4 linked regions of the Saccharomyces cerevisiae S288C genome follow. Each later gene encodes a partner of the first gene's protein in a complex. Each region holds a gene or a part of one and is shown in the gene's direction. Other genes may lie near its edges.

Evidence for each region.
Region 2: MRPL20 (region 1) and MRPL50 share a complex: the UniProt entries of both Saccharomyces cerevisiae proteins name them as parts of the mitochondrial large ribosomal subunit.
Region 3: MRPL20 (region 1) and MRPL38 share a complex: the UniProt entries of both Saccharomyces cerevisiae proteins name them as parts of the mitochondrial large ribosomal subunit.
Region 4: MRPL20 (region 1) and MRPL35 share a complex: the UniProt entries of both Saccharomyces cerevisiae proteins name them as parts of the mitochondrial large ribosomal subunit.

What each region holds. Positions count from the first base shown.
Region 1 is NC_001143.9:598,564-601,605, reverse strand, and holds MRPL20 (mitochondrial 54S ribosomal protein mL58 MRPL20), read left to right. Parts: upstream 1-1,924; coding exon 1,925-2,512; downstream 2,513-3,042. Other genes in the region: DEAH-box RNA helicase PRP16, read right to left, coding at 1-1,749; ribosome dissociation factor GTPase HBS1, read left to right, coding at 2,716-3,042. UniProt on the Saccharomyces cerevisiae protein: Component of the mitochondrial ribosome (mitoribosome), a dedicated translation machinery responsible for the synthesis of mitochondrial genome-encoded proteins, including at least some of the essential transmembrane subunits of the mitochondrial respiratory chain.
Region 2 is NC_001146.8:669,218-671,793, reverse strand, and holds MRPL50 (mitochondrial 54S ribosomal protein bL9m MRPL50), read left to right. Parts: upstream 1-1,600; coding exon 1,601-2,020; downstream 2,021-2,576. Other genes in the region: SNF12 (Snf12p), read right to left, coding at 1-1,376; YNR021W (uncharacterized protein), read right to left, coding at 2,203-2,576. UniProt on the Saccharomyces cerevisiae protein: Component of the mitochondrial ribosome (mitoribosome), a dedicated translation machinery responsible for the synthesis of mitochondrial genome-encoded proteins, including at least some of the essential transmembrane subunits of the mitochondrial respiratory chain.
Region 3 is NC_001143.9:129,093-131,619, forward strand, and holds MRPL38 (mitochondrial 54S ribosomal protein uL14m MRPL38), read left to right. Parts: upstream 1-1,541; coding exon 1,542-1,958; downstream 1,959-2,527. Other genes in the region: protein kinase NNK1, read left to right, coding at 1-1,169; putative serine/threonine protein kinase KKQ8, read right to left, coding at 2,196-2,527. UniProt on the Saccharomyces cerevisiae protein: Component of the mitochondrial ribosome (mitoribosome), a dedicated translation machinery responsible for the synthesis of mitochondrial genome-encoded proteins, including at least some of the essential transmembrane subunits of the mitochondrial respiratory chain.
Region 4 is NC_001136.10:1,108,802-1,112,234, forward strand, and holds MRPL35 (mitochondrial 54S ribosomal protein mL38 MRPL35), read left to right. Parts: upstream 1-1,787; coding exon 1,788-2,891; downstream 2,892-3,433. Other genes in the region: asparaginase ASP1, read left to right, coding at 1-1,046; TIM11 (F1F0 ATP synthase subunit e), read right to left, coding at 3,202-3,433. UniProt on the Saccharomyces cerevisiae protein: Component of the mitochondrial ribosome (mitoribosome), a dedicated translation machinery responsible for the synthesis of mitochondrial genome-encoded proteins, including at least some of the essential transmembrane subunits of the mitochondrial respiratory chain.

The sequences.
Region 1 (3,042 bases):
CAGAGTGTCGAACGTTGTTTCAATATCTTCTTGACCTGTCATGAAAATGAGAATATCACCGCTTGAACAATCGTTTGCTAAATGAATTTTCACAGCCTGAGAAACTGCAGCTTCTACGTAGTCTTGAACAGGGTTGGAAGTATATATGGTCTGTACGGGGAAAGTTCTTCCAGGAATTGTGAACTGAGGAGCATTACCAAAAAATGCGGAGAACTTCTTCGCATTCATTGTTGCTGAAGTGATTATGAGTTTTAGATCTCTTCTACGTGCTAATAAAATCTTGAAAAAACCTAGTAAAATGTCTGTATTTAATGACCTTTCATGAGCTTCATCAATAATAACACACGAATATTTATCGAGTGTATCATCCAATAAGGTCTCTCTGAGTAGAATACCATCCGTTACAAACTTAAGTTTTGTACACTCAGAATCCGTCACATCTTCAAACCTTATAGAATAGCCTACTTCCTTACCCAATGGAACTTGCATTTCCATTGCAACCCTTTTTGCAACGGATATGGCTGCTACTCTTCTCGGCTGTGTGACAACAATAGATTTCCCCCTATCGTTGGCATATCCTTCTTCATATAAATACTGTGCAAGTTGCGTGGTTTTACCTGAGCCCGTTTCACCAATTATCACCACTACTTGATTTTCTCTTATCAATGATAACAATTGAGATCTGCAGCGGAAAACAGGCAGTTGCTCTTTAGTATGTTTAATGTCATCTTTTGATGGCGTGAAAAGAGCTGTATCGTCGCAAATCTTTTGGTTGCTCTTATCTTTTGCTTTATTGTTATTCTCCAAGCCTAGTACTTCCCCCATGGCAGTGTTCAAAACAGTGGTGTTGTCTCGAGATTGTTGAATATGTTCCATGTTTATCCTTCTCAAGGCAACCAGCTTACTACCTCGTTTGGCGTTCGCAGAAAATTCACTGTCAGGATTCCTAAATGGATTCACCATTGATAAAGCGGATACTTGGCTGGACGTCTCAGAGATGGACCCGATAATTATGGAAGTGGGCACTTTGTTTTCAAGAGCAAACTTTGATAAAAAAGGAGGGATCCATTCCATTCTTTGCTTGAGTGGTATGGGGTATAATTGAACGGTATTTCGTAAGGCATCATCGTTGTCGATATTCCTAATGACAGGTAGTAGTTTCGCTTCCTCAGGCAATTCAGACAGAGGTTCAGGCACCAAATTTCCATAATCATCATCATTATCATACCATTCTCTGTCCTCCTCAACTACTTCGCTTCGAGTCGGTTCATAGTCCTTCGTTTCAGCATGACCATTCTGTGTTTGCTGTTCACTATTTGGAGAAGGATCCTTCACGGTGGGCGAATACTGCCTCAACTGTTTGGCCTTTAGTTTATCTATTCTCTTGAACAACGTCCGTGTAGGTGCTGGTTTTTTTTGAACTGGAGAATCTAGCTCATCTTCATTATCGTCAAGGTCTAACTGGATCTTAAATTTCTTTCTCTTATTTATAGAAGGGGCGATTTTCTTTGGGCCTGTCGAGTCCTCTTCAGATTTATTCTTGAGGAGCTCCAGAAGTTCATTAAAAATGATTGGATTGTTACTGCTGAGTTTCGTCAAAGCTTTACAGCTGGCAATAAACTGTTCTAGATTAGTATTCGGCTTTTGCGCTAGTTTCTGCAGTGTCAAAAGCAACCCAGGCGTTAGTTCTTTTGACGTAAGTTCCTTAAATATGTCTTTTATCCTTTCCTCACGCCCCGAATGACCCATACCAGAGGTATTTGTATTGTCTTTGGGCCTTCTTGTGTTTTATCATCTGCAGTCATCTCATGAATTTTTCAGCTTTCACCGCTTTTATTATTTGAGAAAATAGAAAAGAGGGCAAAAAGAGATACTTTCAACAAGTTAAAATGGAAAATTAAAGACAAAGTAAAATAGCACAAGAATGATTGGCAGAGGTGTGTGCTGCAGATCGTTCCACACTGCTGGATCTGCCTGGAAGCAATTTGGATTTCCCAAAACACAAGTGACAACGATTTACAACAAGACTAAGAGCGCATCTAACTATAAAGGGTATTTAAAGCACAGAGATGCTCCAGGAATGTACTATCAACCATCAGAATCCATCGCAACCGGATCTGTTAACAGTGAGACCATTCCACGTAGCTTTATGGCAGCCAGTGACCCTCGTAGAGGGCTTGACATGCCTGTTCAAAGCACTAAAGCGAAGCAGTGTCCAAATGTTCTCGTAGGTAAGAGCACAGTGAACGGCAAAACCTATCATCTGGGACCTCAAGAAATTGATGAGATCCGGAAGTTACGTCTTGACAATCCTCAAAAGTATACACGCAAATTTTTGGCTGCAAAATATGGCATTTCGCCATTATTTGTATCCATGGTCTCGAAACCTAGTGAACAACATGTACAAATTATGGAAAGTAGATTGCAAGAAATCCAATCACGCTGGAAGGAGAAGAGGCGTATAGCCAGAGAGGACCGTAAGCGTAGAAAACTCCTGTGGTACCAGGCGTGAATGCTATATAAATATAATAACAATCGTGTAAATACTACTCTATAAGTACTTCGTATTCATATATTGATCACAATGCACGGAGACGCCCATTAATGTGACTTGAATATACCACATGAAAGCTAACCAATAAGCAATTTAAAAAGAGTTAAGTACAGCTTGGAGACACCCAAAGGCTTCTGCTTCGACAACTATTGACTATCGAGATGGCTTACAGTGACTACAGCGATGGAGCAGACGACATGCCGGACTTTCACGACGAAGGTGAATTTGATGATTATTTGAATGACGATGAATATGATCTAATGAACGAGGTATTTCCTACTCTAAAGGCGCAGTTACAGGATTACCAAGGCTGGGATAATCTTTCACTTAAGCTAGCTTTGTTTGACAACAATTTCGATTTGGAAAGCACGCTGGCGGAATTGAAGAAAACTTTGAAGAAGAAGAAGACACCAAAGAAGCCAATTGCTGCTGCTAATGGGAGTGCGAATGTTACTCAAAAACTGGCAAACATCTCAATTTCGCAACAA
Region 2 (2,576 bases), on another chromosome or scaffold:
CTTTCTCTTTGTGTATTATTGAATTTTAGAGCGTTGACATCAGGTACTTCAATATCAAGAACCAACTCACCATAAGTGGAAGCTTTATCAACGCGTACTGTGTAATCAATTTCAATTGGCTGTAATGGGAGCAGGTGAGTACTATTAATAAGGGACAGTAAATCCGTTAATTTCATTGTATCTGGAGAAGATTCTTTAAGACTGCTGGGTAATAAGGTAATAAGCTGAGTGTCTAATTTTACAATAGAAACTTGACTGGAGGCTGCATCAAGCATCTTACTAGTACTGGTGTTGCTATTGTGATTGTTCCTGTTGCCCATCAAATTTTCGAATGCAGACTCATCATTGGTAAGCAATTCATTTAAATGGATGTATTTATATATGGAAAATATTGCATCATGTGATGTACCGCTCTTCAATCCTATTATTGCGGTTAGTTGTGGAGAGTAGCTCATAAATGGCTCTTCTGGGGATGATTTTCGCAGGATGCTTATAGTGCATTCTACATTTTCAGACCCTACCCTCTTAATATCGAGACCATCGAAGTCTACAGGATTATTCGGGTCATACTGCCATTTCACTGATTCTAGTTTTGGAGTTGTAGAACTCATATCCTTTTTGGCAGTCTCCTCCCCCATCGTGGCATTATTTTGGTCGGTATTAGTCGTAGTAGAGTTGTCACCATTCGGCAGTGAAAATTGTAACGGTAAGTTTAAGTTCAATTTCTTATCACTGGGTCCTTCGGTGGCATTTTCTTCAGGGGCCGCATTAAATTTAGTCGATGGCACATTATCGTTTTCCTTATTTTTGAAGTCTACCACTATCGATTCTATGAATGAGCTAAATTTTTCTCTTGCTGGATCATTAGCTTGCACATTGTCCAATAATCGACCTTCGATTCTCATCGTCCAAGTGGCATTCTCCAGTGCCATAAGGTCAGCCTCATTGTTTGTGTCCATTTGCCAGGGTTGGTTTTCACTAACATTTGAAATGAAGATTCGGAGAAATTTTACATTTGGAAAATTTAAATGAGGATAAAGAAACTCTTGGGATAGCTTTGACCTCTCCCACTGCGCAACCATTCGCTTCATATGTAAGTTTCGCAGATGAATAAAATGATCTAATCTTTTCTCGGAATCCACCAGTTGTTGGAAAGAATACAGCTCAGGAATCAATTCGGCTAAATGGTCAGGGATAACCATATCTGATGGATGAGAATGTGGCACTGTTGGCGTAATTTGAGAAGCATTATTTGCTTTATCTTGGTTCACCGGATCCTTTTTCTTTGCATGAAAGAAATTTTTAGTATCAGGTGTGGCTGCTTTTGAACTCTTTCTAGAACCTTTTCCGTTGCTGGGTTTCATTACTTTGGACATGGTTCAATCCGTTAGATCTCTGTTTGACAGCTTTAGAGTTGTCTTATTTTGTTTTTGGTTTAATACATCCACGTTATTTTGTATTTTTTTTGTTTATTATTGCAAGTTTTTAGTTCATTTGTTCTTTCCGATGAAAAAGCAAACTCAAAGGGCAGTTAAGTTACGTTATACCGTAAGGAATATAAAAGGCTAACTAAATAACGAACGAAACAGGTCGACCAAAGATGCTACATTGCACCCAGGTGTGTCTGAGCGCTCTGACAAAGAGAACCCACAGGGTCAAGGTTCAAGTCCTGAAGGATTTCCCGCGATTTCAATTATATAAAGGACAAGTTGCAAATGTCAAACCATCTTTAATGAGAAACTATTTACATAACTTCAATGGTGCAAAATACATACTCAGCGAAGAACACGACATAAATACGGAACTGTTAAAACAATACCAAACACTTGAGGCAAAGCTAGAGGAAGACCATCAACAGCTCTCTAAACGCCATGAAACGGAAGTTCAAAAGAACATGGAGTTACGTAAAGAATCTGTTTTTGGCCACAAGAAAGAAGAGAAGCCAAAAGAGGAAAAGAAGGGATTATTGGATTCTGGGATTACTATCGAAGAGGTTAAGATCCCCGGTCTTGACATTTGATTGGTAAAGAGTATGTATTCAGATAGCGTACAATCTTGTATATAGGCAACATCGCAATTCAAAACACCACATACCAATTTACATACTTACTATTTAAATGTATGGATACATGGAAAACGTTCGTATACAAAAACTGAAGAGGTTCAGAAAATTATAAGGAGGAAAGAAGAACAAAGTGGTTCTTACTGAAATCTTGTTCTTTGCTTGTTTTTGAGACGTCTTTCTCTTTTCTCTTTCATTTTTTGATCTACCTTTTCTTGTTGACCAGAGGCCTTCAATTGACGTCTTTTGGCTTTTTCCAATTCTAATTTCTTCTCCTTTGCCAATTCCAATTCAGTTTCTTTCATAAACTTTTTGATCTTGTTCAGTTCTTGCTGACGCAAGTTGGTAGTTCTTTTCAAGATGTCGTTGGTAATGAATAAGTTTGGAGACTGTTGGACTAAATCTTGAGTGAACCCATCGTAGATTTCTACGACTAAGGAAATAATTTGGTTTAACAACTTCAATTCATTCTCATTTTGGGGAACAGCGCAACGAATGATAGCCTTTGGTTCAA
Region 3 (2,527 bases), 470 kb from region 1:
GGGACGAATTCAAACGTTCGAAGATACCATTTGCAGAGAGATGCAGATTGACCATTTTTTTAAGCTTACAACTATTATCTGCATTAAAGTACATGCATTCCAAAACGATTGTTCATGGTGACATCAAATTAGAAAACTGTCTGTTACAAAAAGAAGGTAAAAAATCGGATTGGAAGGTTTTCCTATGCGATTTTGGAATGAGTTGCCACTTCGATGAGAAGCATGTTTATCGTAACGATACTTTTGATGAAAACTTGAGTAGTGGCAACAGCCATAGAAAGAGAAAAAGTATTGAACAAACTAATTTGATAAAGTATCCCACAACCAATTTTTTACCTGACGACCGAACTAATGATTTTGACGCTAGTGAAAACTTAAAATACCAATTTGAAAATCGAAAGCATCAACCGTTTACACCAAAAGGAATGGTTAGCTCCAGTTCACATTCATTAAAGCATCTCAATCAACCATCCTCTTCTTCTTCTTCTAATCTATTTCACAAGCCAGCCTCTCAACCTCAACCACAGCATCGGAGTCCCTTTCATGGGAGGCACAAGACAACCGATTTTTCAAACCTGGAACCCGAACCTTCTAAATATATCGGATCTCTGCCTTACGCTTCGCCAGAACTTCTAAGATACTCAGATGCAAGACGTTCAAAATCAGTTGAAATGCATATTTATGATTCACCAGACTCCTCTCAATCGGAAATTAGCGCAGCATCATCATCTTCCTCTAATTTATCTTCTCTATCATCCTCTACAAAGGCGTCCGCAGTCACGAATTCCGGTGTAACTACAAGTTCACCGTCTGGTTCATCGACTGATTTTCCATGTATTGTTTCTCCTTTAGGACCAGCATCCGATATTTGGGCCTTGGGAGTAATGCTATATACAATGTTAGTAGGAAAATTACCCTTTAATCATGAGTTCGAACCTAGGTTACGCTCTCTGATTAAAGTAGGCGAATTTGACCGATTTTCTTTAGCTCAGGTCTGTAAATTTGACAGGAAAAAAAATGAAGGAACGATTGGTCAAGGCTTGTATGACACAGTCATTGGATGTTTGACGATTGACTTGGATAAGAGGTGGAAATTGAAAAGGATTGAAGAAGTCCTTCAAAACGAAATGAACCTAAGCGAGGCCATTCACGATAATAATGGCTCATGACTTATGATTAATGATATTGATTGCATTGAAAAAATACATACATTGTGCTTACTTTTTTTTCTCCCATTTTATAAATTATAACGAACTTCATAATTACTATTACGAAATATGTAAATAAGTATTTTTATCGCATATTTGATGCCTCTATCACTTATTTGGCGCTATTCATTGCGACTCGTGCAACGTGCGAAAACTCAGAATATTTTTTTGAACAGCCTTAAATCATGTTGCTAAATGACGGATGGAAGAAAAGGGACCTATAGAAGAGTTCGGATAAATTGTGAAGCGTGGATATTGGCATAGCGGATTTGTAGAACGGTGTGTCGTCAACCCTTTGAGATCTGGATAAGCCATATTTTCTAACATCACAACATGATATTTCTAAAATCTGTCATCAAGGTAATCGACAATTCAGGTGCACAATTAGCAGAATGTATTAAAGTAATAAGGAAAGGGTCCCCCAAGAGTCCTGCAATGGTTGGAGACAGAATAGTCTGTGTTATACAGAAAGCAAAGCCCTTGACTCAAAACATTACGGGGACAGCCAACACCAACCGTGTCAAAAAAGGTGATATTTGTCACGCAATTGTCGTAAGGTCTAAACAGCGTAACATGTGCAGAAAGGATGGCTCCACCGTTGCATTCGGAGATACTGCTTGCGTTTTGATTAATAAAAATACCGGTGAACCTCTGGGGACAAGAATTATGGCTAATGATGGTTGTGTAGATAGAACACTGAAAGACAAGGGATACAATAAGATATGCTCTTTGGCAAGTAGGGTCATATAAGAATAAAAGTACCCCCATTTTCCATTCATTAACGTTATAATCAAGGGACTGTAAACCAGCAAAAGAGCTTTGTCGTCATTATTTAATTAACCACCTGTATATATTGCTTAAATTTTAATGTATGACTTTAACTTTGAAAACGCATGAACGTGCTGCTGACGTTCTACTCATTGGAGTTGTATTCTTTTTCTTGTCTTATTCTATAATTGCATGCCGTGAATATTGTATACAAGATATTTATGTGGAATCATATATTAGGCAGCAATTCGTACTTTTCATCCACTGCATATCTAAAAGTTTGCCAACAGAAATCCTTTTTCTTGGTTCCCATTGAAAGATGCGATATAATGCGATTTTTCTATTTGTGGCCAACTCTGAGTTTACGTGCTTTAATTCTTCGAATACCCTAAACTGGTTTTTACGCTGCATTTCCTTGTAAAATTCATCATAAGACATATCTTTTTCTCTCGAAGCTACTTTCCAAAGATAATGCCCCAATATCATTGTTATATAAACAACGCCACAACTCCAACAGTCAATCAGTCTTGGATCGTAATACTCCCCATCAA
Region 4 (3,433 bases), on another chromosome or scaffold:
TAAAGTCTCAAAATGCCGCTGTGAATGGCAGCGGCATCGCTTGCCAACAACGTAGCTTACCAAGAATCAAAATCTTGGGTACCGGTGGTACTATTGCATCGAAAGCTATAGACTCCTCTCAAACTGCCGGCTATCATGTTGACCTGACCATCCAAGATCTATTGGATGCCATTCCAGATATATCCAAGGTCTGTGACATTGAATATGAGCAACTATGCAACGTGGATTCTAAAGACATAAACGAGGATATTCTTTATAAAATTTATAAGGGCGTCTCAGAATCGTTGCAGGCTTTTGACGGTATAGTTATTACCCATGGGACTGATACGCTATCTGAAACTGCATTCTTTATTGAAAGTACTATTGATGCTGGCGACGTTCCTATTGTTTTTGTTGGTTCGATGCGTCCTTCAACCAGCGTTTCTGCTGATGGCCCTATGAACCTTTACCAAGCAATTTGCATTGCTTCAAATCCAAAATCTAGAGGAAGAGGTGTTCTTGTTTCCTTGAATGACCAAATTTCCTCTGGTTACTACATTACTAAGACGAATGCAAATAGTTTGGATTCTTTTAATGTTAGACAAGGCTATTTAGGAAATTTTGTCAACAATGAAATTCACTACTATTATCCTCCTGTGAAACCGCAAGGTTGCCACAAATTCAAACTGAGAGTGGACGGTAAGCATTTTAAATTACCAGAGGTTTGCATTTTATATGCTCACCAAGCCTTTCCGCCAGCTATAGTCAACTTAGTGGCAGATAAGTATGATGGTATTGTTCTTGCTACCATGGGTGCTGGTTCATTGCCGGAGGAGGTCAATGAAACCTGCATGAAATTGAGTTTGCCGATCGTATATTCCAAGAGATCGATGGATGGTATGGTGCCTATTGCCAACGTACCAAAGAAAGGTTCAAAGGAGGATAATCTCATCGCATCTGGTTATCTAAGCCCTGAAAAGAGCAGAATCTTGTTACAATTATGTTTGGCAGGTAACTACACGTTGGAAGAAATTAAACATGTTTTCACTGGCGTCTATGGTGGGTGAAAATTTTGTAATTTTTTGCATTTGTGTCGATATATATATATATATACATAGACACAGAGATAGAGATATAATTATGCAAGTCCCTGTTAATGCTAGTCTGAGATGAGTACAGGAATTCTTCATTTAGATTGTCTCGGCTATGTCACTTTTCTATCGTTTCACCTGCACATGGCTTTGTCTTGAATACTGAAGCCGTTATTATAGTTCTATCTTCATGTTTTTAGAGGTTTTTTTTAAATGAGTTTATTAAAATTAAATTTTGAATGTTATTTTTGAATAAAAATATAAAAAAAATAATATTAATAATTTTTCATTAACTGCTCATGATATCAGTGCATTAGAAAATCTTTTGGTTCCACTTTTCCTATAAAAATAATTCAAGTTTTATCATTATATCATTTTTAAATATTTGATTATCATCGCCCGCTGGTCACCGCATTTTTAAAGAATAAATATTACTTTTTTCGAAATCTGGTGTTTAAATATTTTTAAGAAAGTTAAAAAATAAGGAATATTTGATAAACAAAAAAAAATTAGCCTTTATATATCCATTTTTGTTTATGTATTCCTTTTTTTATTTTCTTATGTGTTTGGGATTTACTGTCGCAGTCTTTTCAAATTTTCCGGGCTAAACCGGAAGCCGGAAGGTCTGGGATAAGACAACAGTATCCAATACAATATCAGACTACAGCAAAAAGCTTATTCAGAGATCTTTACAGAAATCAAGGTCACTGCCGAACTATGTTACGAAGATCTATTCATACCACTAAAATCCTCCAAAAACCTAATGCTACTTCGCATATTTGGTCGGACTTTACCACAAGGCCTAGTTCACTTTCTATCCAATCTTCAAAAGTGAAAAATTACCTTTTCCAGAAGAAAGCTTCTCTAGACCCACCATCTATCAGCAGAAGAAGTAACCGTATCAAATATTCACCTCCAGAACACATTGATGAGATTTTCAGGATGAGTTATGATTTTCTTGAGCAAAGATCCAGTAAGTTTTATGAGTTGGCCAATAAGACTAAAAATCCCTTGAAGAAGGATGCACTTCTCATAAAAGCAGAGATCAATAATCCTGAGGTACAATACAATTTTCAGTTTAATAACAAGTTGAACAATGTTAAGGATATAATAGATTATGATGTGCCAGTGTACAGACATTTGGGGAAACAACATTGGGAATCGTACGGCCAGATGTTATTGATGCAAAGGTTAGAAACGTTGGCTGCCATTCCTGATACTCTTCCAACTCTGGTTCCACGGGCAGAAGTGAATATCAAATTTCCCTTCTCTACTGGTGTAAATAAGTGGATCGAACCTGGTGAATTTCTATCGTCCAATGTCACATCCATGCGTCCCATTTTCAAAATTCAAGAATATGAACTTGTGAACGTTGAAAAACAATTGTATACGGTACTGATAGTCAATCCTGATGTTCCAGATTTGAGTAATGACTCATTTAAAACGGCTTTGTGTTACGGATTGGTGAATATTAATTTGACTTATAATGACAATTTAATAGATCCAAGAAAGTTCCACAGTTCTAATATTATCGCTGACTACTTACCTCCGGTACCTGAAAAGAATGCTGGAAAACAGAGATTCGTTGTTTGGGTATTCAGACAACCCTTAATCGAGGATAAGCAAGGTCCTAACATGTTAGAGATTGACCGAAAGGAACTAAGTAGAGATGATTTTGATATCAGGCAATTTACGAAGAAATACAATCTAACCGCTATTGGGGCACATATCTGGAGAAGCGAATGGGATGCCAAAGTCGCCGCCGTCAGAGAAAAATATGGCCTACCACCTGGAAGGGTTTTTAGCAGAGTTAGAAGGTGATCCTAAATAGTATGACATTATAGTATCCTGTACATATAAAATAACGTGTCATTGTTAATAAAGCTTGATGCAAATAATATAAAGTAAGAATCTGAAAAATTTTTGGAATGTGAATTTTGTTTACAATACGATACGTATGATATTAGTATGTTCTAGAATATATACATTTCATTTTTTTCCTTATTGTTTGTGCACTAACGAATGAAGAAAAAAATATGGAACATCTAGCGAACGAGAATCCATCATAACTTCGTCATTCAGTGCGAGCTAATGTGCATTTTTAGTATCCTATTTATGTTGAAGCTTCTATTTATGTTGAAGCTTCCTTCAGGGATTCAACGGCGTTAAGAATAACTCTTTCAAAATCTATATTAGGATCTTCCAAATTAAATGAGGCGTTCGCAGGCACATCTTTAGGAGTTACTACAGGGTGTAGCTTGGCGTATTCCTTCTTTGCCTCCTCTACCAGCTTCAATTTCTCCTCGTACTGTGCCTGCTCCTCTTTCTTCTTAGCATTACACTTCAAAATCATATCATTTCTA